Ovis aries: one gene and its partner. The protein of the gene in region 1 purifies or fractionates together with the protein of each later gene. This does not show direct contact. Links are inferred from orthologs where the notes say so. Each region holds a gene or a part of one and is shown on either strand. Other genes may lie near its edges. The genes, in order: SLC7A14 and GOLM1.

Region 1 (4,463 bases):
GAGCTACTGTTCATAGGGTGGCAAAGAGTCAGACACAACTTAGCAACTAAATGACAACAACAAAACCAACAAATTACTGAATATAATTCAGTCCTGCTGATGTTCTTGTCAAAGATAATTAGAGAAGGCATGGAAAAATATTTGATGCATCATGGGAGTAGTGGAAAGGGCACTGGCCTTGGAGTCAGGTCAACTGGATTCCAGTCCTAACTTTTCAGTCATGTGCATTAGACTAATAAGCATCTTTTGGTTCTCAAATTCTCTTTTTTGCAAAACAATGATGCTTAATGGTCTTGAAGGTTTTTCCAGCCCTATAACTCCAGGGTAGAATTCTAAATAGGAAAGCACAAGTGGGATCTAGTCCTCCAGACTCCCCAAAGCCTTGCTGTTCTTCAGGAAAGCCTGCCATTTTATTCCTCTATCACGGTTCTGTTATCCTGAAGCTCTAGTGTGTGAACAGTGGTATCTCAAGCAGCATGCACAAAAGCAGTTGGTATGGTGGGAGTTAGTGACAGTGGGTGGGTGAACAGATTAAAGAGGAAAGGGTTGGAAGAGACAGTAGTGTCTGTGAAAAGCAAAGCTGGTCCTCTACCTTTGACAAATTCTTGCTATAGTCTCCAGTAACCACTGCCCAAAGTCAATGCCAAAATAAGGGCATGAAAATAGCTTGGATTTCAGAGTTAAGCAGACTTGAATTTGAATCCAAGCTCTGGATTTGAGATACATAACTTCAGTTTTCTAAACTTTGTGATACATTTGGTTAGCAGCTATTGTGAAGCTTAAATGAGATGATATGGCCCAGCAAATAGTAGGGTTTTTTTTTTTTTAAAGTAAATAGTCTCTTAACTTGGCCTTCTGAAATTGGCTTAGTTCACTCCTCATCTAGCCCATAATGTAAAAGACTCTGAAAGAAACATACAAGACTGCTTAGAGATCTGTATCCAGAGGATGTAAAATTTACATTGTAGATAATGCGTGGTGGAGAGAGAGGGTGCTGAAGAGAAAAAAAAAAAAAAAACTCAGCCAGGAATAGAAAGCCTAGTTAGTCTCTCTGTTAATGAAGCCTCTTCCCTTGTGCAGCCTCACAGTTCTCTGGTTCTTGAAAGCCACAGTAGCGTTTATCAGAACAACAACCCTAACTGTGTTTCCAACACTTCACCAACAGGAAGATTCACAGCGCAGGCAGAGAAAACAGAATGAGGCACCACATTCGTTCCCATTCAAGTTAGCAAAGCTGGATCCTAGAGTGACACCCGCTCCTTGCTCCTCAACCCAGCACTGGGGAAAACCTGCTTCCAAGGGGAATCTAGGGGTGGGGGTGGGGTGTGGGGTGGGAAGGCAGAGAAACGGGGAATGCATAGCACCTTTGCCCCTCTCTCTAGGTCACTTGATCCACTTGACTTCCTTTACGAGGTTCTAACACAGTTTCTGCTTTGGAGAAAAATGTTGGCAAGCAATGAGCCTCCAGTCCCTCGGCGGTGTTATCTCGCCGCTTTGCAGAACTTTCAGCACCGCGGACAGCTCCCGCTGTCCTGTCTGTGGCCCACTCTCAGGACTGGCATTCTCCCGGAACCCCTTCCTGGAGGGGGCTCTGGTCGGAGTGGGGTTGGGGGAGGGGAGGTGGGATGTCATTCTGGGTTTCTTGGCCAACTTTGGCCAGAGACCGGCCCTGCCACTACGGTGAGAATACCTCCTAAGAGCCGGTTCCTTTTCACCTCTCGGTTGAAGACCTCCAAGAACCGAAGTCAGCATAGGCGGTGGGGTGGGGAGTGCCAGGAGCCCATGAGGGCTCTATTTTTCCATCATTCCTGCACCTTTTTTCCGCCTTTCACTTTACTTCTAGGCATTCGGCGACTTCTGTCTTACTTTTCAATCGCAATACAAAATACCTGTGTGTGAGGGGAAGGGTGGGGGCTGACTCAAGAGCTAGAAGGAGGTTGTGGCTGCGTCCGGCGAGGCTACACTGCCCTACTCTGGCCCTTTGAATTCTTAGGACGCTGATGTGCTTTGGGATGGGGAAGTGGGGCGGGCTCTGACTTAGGTGTAAGTGTGAGAGTCCTCTCCCCAGGGTTGCCCCCTCTGTTCAGGGAGCTTCCCTGACACCTCACTCATCACGTCCTCCTCGTCGCCCCCGGTGTGTCACCGGTCTCTGGGGACAGATGCCCCTGCGAGCGCATGGCCTTGTCAGGTCACCTGGGTCAGATAGAGTCCCTTTGAAGAGTTTGCTCTAATGTAAAAGGGGAGACATTGTTCCCGCCCGTCCTTCGGGCTTCGGCCGGAAAAGCATCTCTCTCTCTCTCGTTGGACTCTTTCAGACGCCGAGAAAACCTAGCTGCGCGAACCAAGGTGCGGGGGGACAGGACGGGCCCGGCGTCTGTGGAGACCTGGGCGGCCCGAAAGCTGCTCACGGCTCCCTCCTCCGCCTCTAGCTCCCGCGGGCCGGACCTGCCTGGCAGCCCCGCAGTTGGAGCCCGGCGTCCCCCCACCCTGGATGCTATCCAGGCCCCATTGCAGGCCAGAGCCGGAGAGACCCCGACCCGGCTCCGTCCTTCCTTCTAGGAGACCCCTTCCCGGAGGGCGCCCTCAGCCTCCGCGCCATGTTCCTGCTTACCCGCTCCGGGTGGCTCTGGCTCGCTGGTTCATTCAACAAGAGGTGATCATCCCATTTTACAGCTGGGATGCAGGGGCCACGGAGGGGGACAGACTACAGCGACAGGGGGACGTTCACTCACCGGAGGGCTGGAGGTGATGAACTGGCTGCCGGGGCTGATGGCTGGCGGTCCTCACTTACAGCGCCGGGTTTGTCTCTTCTCCCGTGATGCGGGGTGGTGGCGGCAAAGGAAAGCAGGAGGCAGCCGCCACTGCCGAACAGCTCCTCAATTATTCAGATTGCCCCTCTATCTGCACCCTCCCCGCGGCCTCGCAGTCCTCCCTCCAGCTAGCCTGTCTCCGCCTTCCTGGAGTCACGTGTGCTGCCCAACCCCTTACATTACCGAGCAGAAGCCTCTCACCAGACGCCCCCCCCCCCCCCCCCCCCAGCCCCAGTACACACACACACACACACACACACACACACACACACACACTGCTATCTGCCGCTCTCAACTACCTGGCCTATTAAGCCCCCAGGTGCTGCTTCCAGTACCTCATGCTACGTGAGGCTGAGGGGAAGAGATGCTGGCAGCTCTCCGCCCTGGGAAAGGACCAGGCAGGACTCCGCAGTGTTGATGTGTTGCGAATGCACAGCCTCTGCGAGAAGCTCCACCTCTGCTGGACTTGACATTGGACAAAGCTGGCTACCCAGACCTGGTTCCTGCCCTCTGGAAGCTTCCCCCTTCTTCACCGAGCCCTTGCTGCTCTTAAATTTCTTCCACCTCCCTCAGCATTACTGAAAGGAAAGGATGGGGGAGATTGATTTCCCCTCCCCTCCTAAAAAAAGGACAAGACCTTCCTCTTTCTCCAATAGACTAAGTTTATCTTTGGATTCTCAACATCTAATGAGTAGAAAAGATTGAGGCTTTGAGATGTGAAGACTGAGGAGGAATTTTGGTCCATACCAAAAATAGATACCCTTGGGAGTATCTAACTTCTGTTAGCCTTTCTTCTCTCATCTGTGAAATGACCCTTTCACAGAACTATTATGAGAATTAAAAATGGTAATATTCTTAAAGTTGCCTAACGTATTTAGAACTCAATAAATGGGAGTCCTTCCCCCCTCTCTGTTAAAATAAATTTCAGAAACAAGGAGATTGTGATTTGCACCAGTAGAATGGAAGTATCTTTTGTAAACTTAGAAAGGGGTATCTGTGCATTCAGGCTTGACAGATAATGTATGAAAGGAGAAAAGCAATTTACTGGGCTTATAGTTTTTCATTGGTTCTATTGAGAACTATGTTATGTCTCAAAAGGATGAGGACTATGTAGTACAAACTGAGGCATGTTTGGCCTCATCAGAGAATGAATTATTTACTATGCGTTGAAAAGACTGCTTTAGATGGACAGTACCTACATAATCTTGGATCTTTGGTCCAGGCCTTCAAAATATATGGGAACTAATGAGATGTAACTCCCCATCCTTGGAAACACATTCACTGGGCTTCTGATTGAGAAGAATGTTGACTGTCTGACACTTCTTTCCTAGCATGGAGCAGTCAAATGTACCTTCCGATTGTGGGTTCTAGCTAGTGGACCTGGGTTCTCTCCAGAAAAATGACTGATCAGTGCCAGGACAGTCTGGGAAAGTCAACCTAGCTTAAATTTATTACTGTTTTGGACCAGAATCCAGGTGTTAAGTATTGAGATATCTCCTTCATTTGAGCTTATGCAGGGTATATCAGATCTTCTAGGATACCCAAGAAGCTGTGGAACTTTGCAGGAAAGGCATAGAGTTAAAGAATCAGAAGTTTGGCATCTTAATACAGGCTTTGGTGGTGGTGGTTTAGTCGCTAAGTCGTGTCCAACTC
Region 2 (3,811 bases), on another chromosome or scaffold:
GCGACTCCTCTTTGGGTGGTTCTCAGGTAAAGCCCCTCACAGAGAAAAGGCACTGTGTGGAGTGAAGCAGTGGCTAAGCAGGACAAGAGACAAAGGAACCAATGGTTCAGAAAGAAGTGGGGAAAACCTCACTGGCCAAAGAAGGTGGGATAATGTGAACTTCAAAAAAGATTATAAATGCAACTGAATGAAACCCATCAAAAAGGTTTAAAAGTTTATATTTTCAAATGGTCACCTTCAAAAAGTCAAAGGAAATAATTCCTTATTGTGAAAACTGGTAAAGAAAAAGAAGCATTTATCCTGCCTATGAACAATACCATGACTTGTCTGTTTACAAAATATTTCAACTAACAAATGAAATAGGAATGGCTGAATTAAAATACCACCTCCAGATATCAGCTGGTGATCTGCATGAAATAGGGAGGAAAGAAGAACACACTAAACCAAACCATGAACAGAACCATGAAATACACAATCAACACTCTCCAGACTGTGGTCAAACAGCAATGGCTGGCTGGATGAATGGATGGAAGGAAGGAAGGGAGAGAAGACTTGTAAATTGAAACTTAAACACATATCAAATATAATAAAATGGGCAAGACTAAACTATGGCATCCAGGGATGCCCACTTGGGTGATAAACCCATAAAGAAATTCAAGAAAATGCTGAATGGAAAGGTGAGGACAGGTATTTCAGTACAGGGAGGGAAAGTGCTAGGACAGGAAGGGCAACAAAGAAGGAACTTCCTGAAGCCAAGTTCTGTTTCTTGAATCAGGAAGGCAGGGTGCAGTTAAAAAATGTTTAACTTCTAACAACTCATTTGTTTTGTGTGCTTTCCTCAATCTGATTTACTTCATAAAACCAGAAGAAAAATCTGAAAGTATACTGAACAACAACAACAAAAAAATGTGTGAATTCAACTCTAAATGAGAAAACTGTGACTCCATATCTATAGGCAAAAAAAGACATAAAAATGTTTAAACCTTTCACATGGCAAAAAACCATAATCAAAATCAAGATAAACTGCTAGGTAGTATTGGCAACCAACATCACAGATAAAGGCCAACCACCCCAGCATATAAAGAACTCTTAAAAACTGAGAAAGAAACACCAAGAGTTTGATGGAAAAATGAACTTTAAGAAAGGAAACCTTGAGTCTACAGTGAAACTAAAACAAGGGAGAGAGAGTACGTGTGCTTGTGTGTGTGTGTAAATGTATACACATTGGGGGTGAGGGAGTCCTTAAAGAATGACAGCTTATCAGTGTGTGGAATGACCATCCAGACCACGGTTTTCAATGGACAGCAAAGTCAACCATTGCACAGCATCCCCCTCTGTAAGACATGTTAGTTACACAGGGAAAGTGGACCTTTGCAGCAGAGAGACCTCATGGGTACCACCTTAACCAAGGATCAGCCTGCCATCCCGTGCCTCCTGGTGTGAAGCTAGAAGAACATAACTGCAGCTATTAAAAAAAAAAAAAAAAAAAGTTCAACCAGAATCCAATCACAAGGAGATGAATCCAGAATCTGAGCATCCCACAGGCCTAGACTCATCAAAAGTTCAAAATAACAGTAATACAAAGTAACTCAGAGTGCTACTATAAAAACTTGCCTGTGTACACATCACAGCATTTCGACTAGTGCTGTGAAATGATCATGCGGTGACCTACCATTTGGAAGGGAAATTCCTAAACTTCACTGAAGCATATCCGCACTGACCCCTGAGGGACTGATGCTCATGTTCATGTATGCAGACTTTCTGAAAGGTCCTCGTTATGGCCTCCTGAAACTGTCACCTCTCTCCACTGCCGCTACACTCCAAGACTTCGGGAGAAAACAATCTTCTAATTAGGGATTACTTACAACATTATTGTTGGGATTCAGTACACAGTCATACCAAAAGTGAAGGGCCACAAATCAGACACGAAAGGTGACCCCCTCCGCCCAACCACCACCACCACTGTTAATTACCATTTCTGCTTTTGTCATTCCCTGCAAGGGCTGCCTGCTTGTCTGCTTCAGATTCTGCCTCATTCTCATCCATGTTGTAGTCATCATCAGCTCCCAGTTTCTGCTGATTTCTCCCTGAAAAATGAGCACAGAGCCACAAAACATAGCTACATCATTTCTCTCTCAATGCCATGGGAACACCAGAGTCCGGGTGCTAGGGTCATCCCAACCCTGGTTTAACAATCAGCTCTTTCTGCTTCCTCTAAGGAAATGACAGGGACTCATGTGCTTGCTCCCAGTGCAAAGACCATGCAGGATTTCTCTACTTATGTATGCCCCACTCCAACTTTGAATCTATTTAAAATATGGCCCTAAATAAAGAGCTTCATTCCAGGCTGGAATCAGGGTAACTAGTTCACCAAACGAAATTCCAGTTTTTTAAAGAGATAATCAACTCAACGTTAAAGGAAGGCATCACTGTTTGGAAACAGGTTTCTGGTTAATGGAGGTATCTGCTTAAAATGGTTCACTGCCCTGAGAGAAGGAAATGGAGTAGCTATTGTGAGTCAAAGGGTAAAATTTTTCCATCAAACATACAGAATTAGCTCATTTATCACTGCGTTCATCCCCAGAGAGAAGAGCAACCAGAAAAGATCAGGACAGGATGCAATCAAGAGACATACTCAGAGGGTTACTGTAAACATTTCATATCTGTATAAACAAGATCTTTTGTTTAAAAAGCATGTCTGGAAAAGTCAGCTCTAGTTCTATATCCCTGCACTAACTGCCTGAAGAGGAAACAAAGTCCAGGCCTGTGTGCCATGTGGCTTTATCCTAATAATCAGACCATTACAGCTGACCTTGAACAAGGTGTGACATGTAGGCCCCCACAGTAGCTCAGGCCTTCTGGCAGCTGTTAAACCCTGTGACCAACTGCTGAGTGAGCTGAAACTTGAGTGCCACTCTGATCAGCCCCCCAGAGTGTCATTTTTTTCTTTTTCCCTCCCCAATTATTTAACAGAAAACTTGTAAGAACGTACTCTTCAGAAAATCGGGGTAACTTCTGCCAGTAAGTACTATCCCCACCTTCTATCACTTTATCAGGCTCAGCACACAGGTGTCTTCTAAGCGCCCCTGGCTTAGCTAGGATTAAAATGTCTTCCATCTTTCAGGGACCAAGATACATCCCAGAATATTCTGCTCATCTCAGTTTCCCACACTTTTCTTTAAAAAAAAGAAGTCAACCAAACCAGAAAGGTGAGATTCCCACGTCACTTTTCTGCAACGCTCAAACAAGCATGACCCTCCATCTATCTGATCCTTCCATCTGTCCTTCCTTCCTCCTTCGGTTCACCAGGCACTGCCAGTGACATGGCAGGAGGAGATGGAGTGACAAGGAAAATGTGTGGGCTCTGCCTGCCAGGAGACCTATGTGGACTCTATGCTCAGCTCCCATCCAAGGTCTTCCACCTGGAAAGCCCTCTAGGCTCCCTGTGAAAATGATTTCTACAAGTTCCAAGTGCTAGGAGTGCCTGGCCGTTCTGTCTTGCCTCCTGCCTGACAATGGAACCAAACAAACAGAACGAACTACCAAATGGCACTCTGCTGGTTGGTCATCTTCATGGGTGTCTGTTCTGCACCAGGAAGGACATGGTGGGGGCTAGTGCCTGATGCAGAGGAGTGGGCAGTCCAGGGAGCCTCTCACCCACCTTCCTCGTCGGCATCCTGCCTCTCCTCCTGTCCGTCGCGGACGACGAGCTGGTCCCGTTCAGGGCCCTCCACCTCTTGATTCTCCTGGCTGGCCAGCAGGGCAGCTGGGACCTGTGGGATTTGGCCCAGCTCTCCAGGTTCTCCATTGC

What was found.
Region 2: the proteins of SLC7A14 (region 1) and GOLM1 purify together in Homo sapiens (co-immunoprecipitation; 3 studies listed by BioGRID and IntAct, with this or other methods). This does not show direct contact. The link is inferred for Ovis aries from reciprocal best matches to the Homo sapiens genes SLC7A14 and GOLM1.

Annotation. Positions count from the first base shown.
Region 1 is NC_056054.1:217,550,025-217,554,487, reverse strand, and holds the start of SLC7A14 (probable cationic amino acid transporter), read right to left. Parts: upstream 2,960-4,463; 5' UTR 2,733-2,959; intron 1-2,732. UniProt on the Homo sapiens protein: Imports 4-aminobutanoate (GABA) into lysosomes. May act as a GABA sensor that regulates mTORC2-dependent INS signaling and gluconeogenesis. The transport mechanism and substrate selectivity remain to be elucidated.
Region 2 is NC_056055.1:33,768,511-33,772,321, reverse strand, and holds part of GOLM1 (Golgi membrane protein 1), read right to left. Parts: coding exon 3,662-3,811; intron 2,088-3,661; coding exon 1,974-2,087; intron 1-1,973.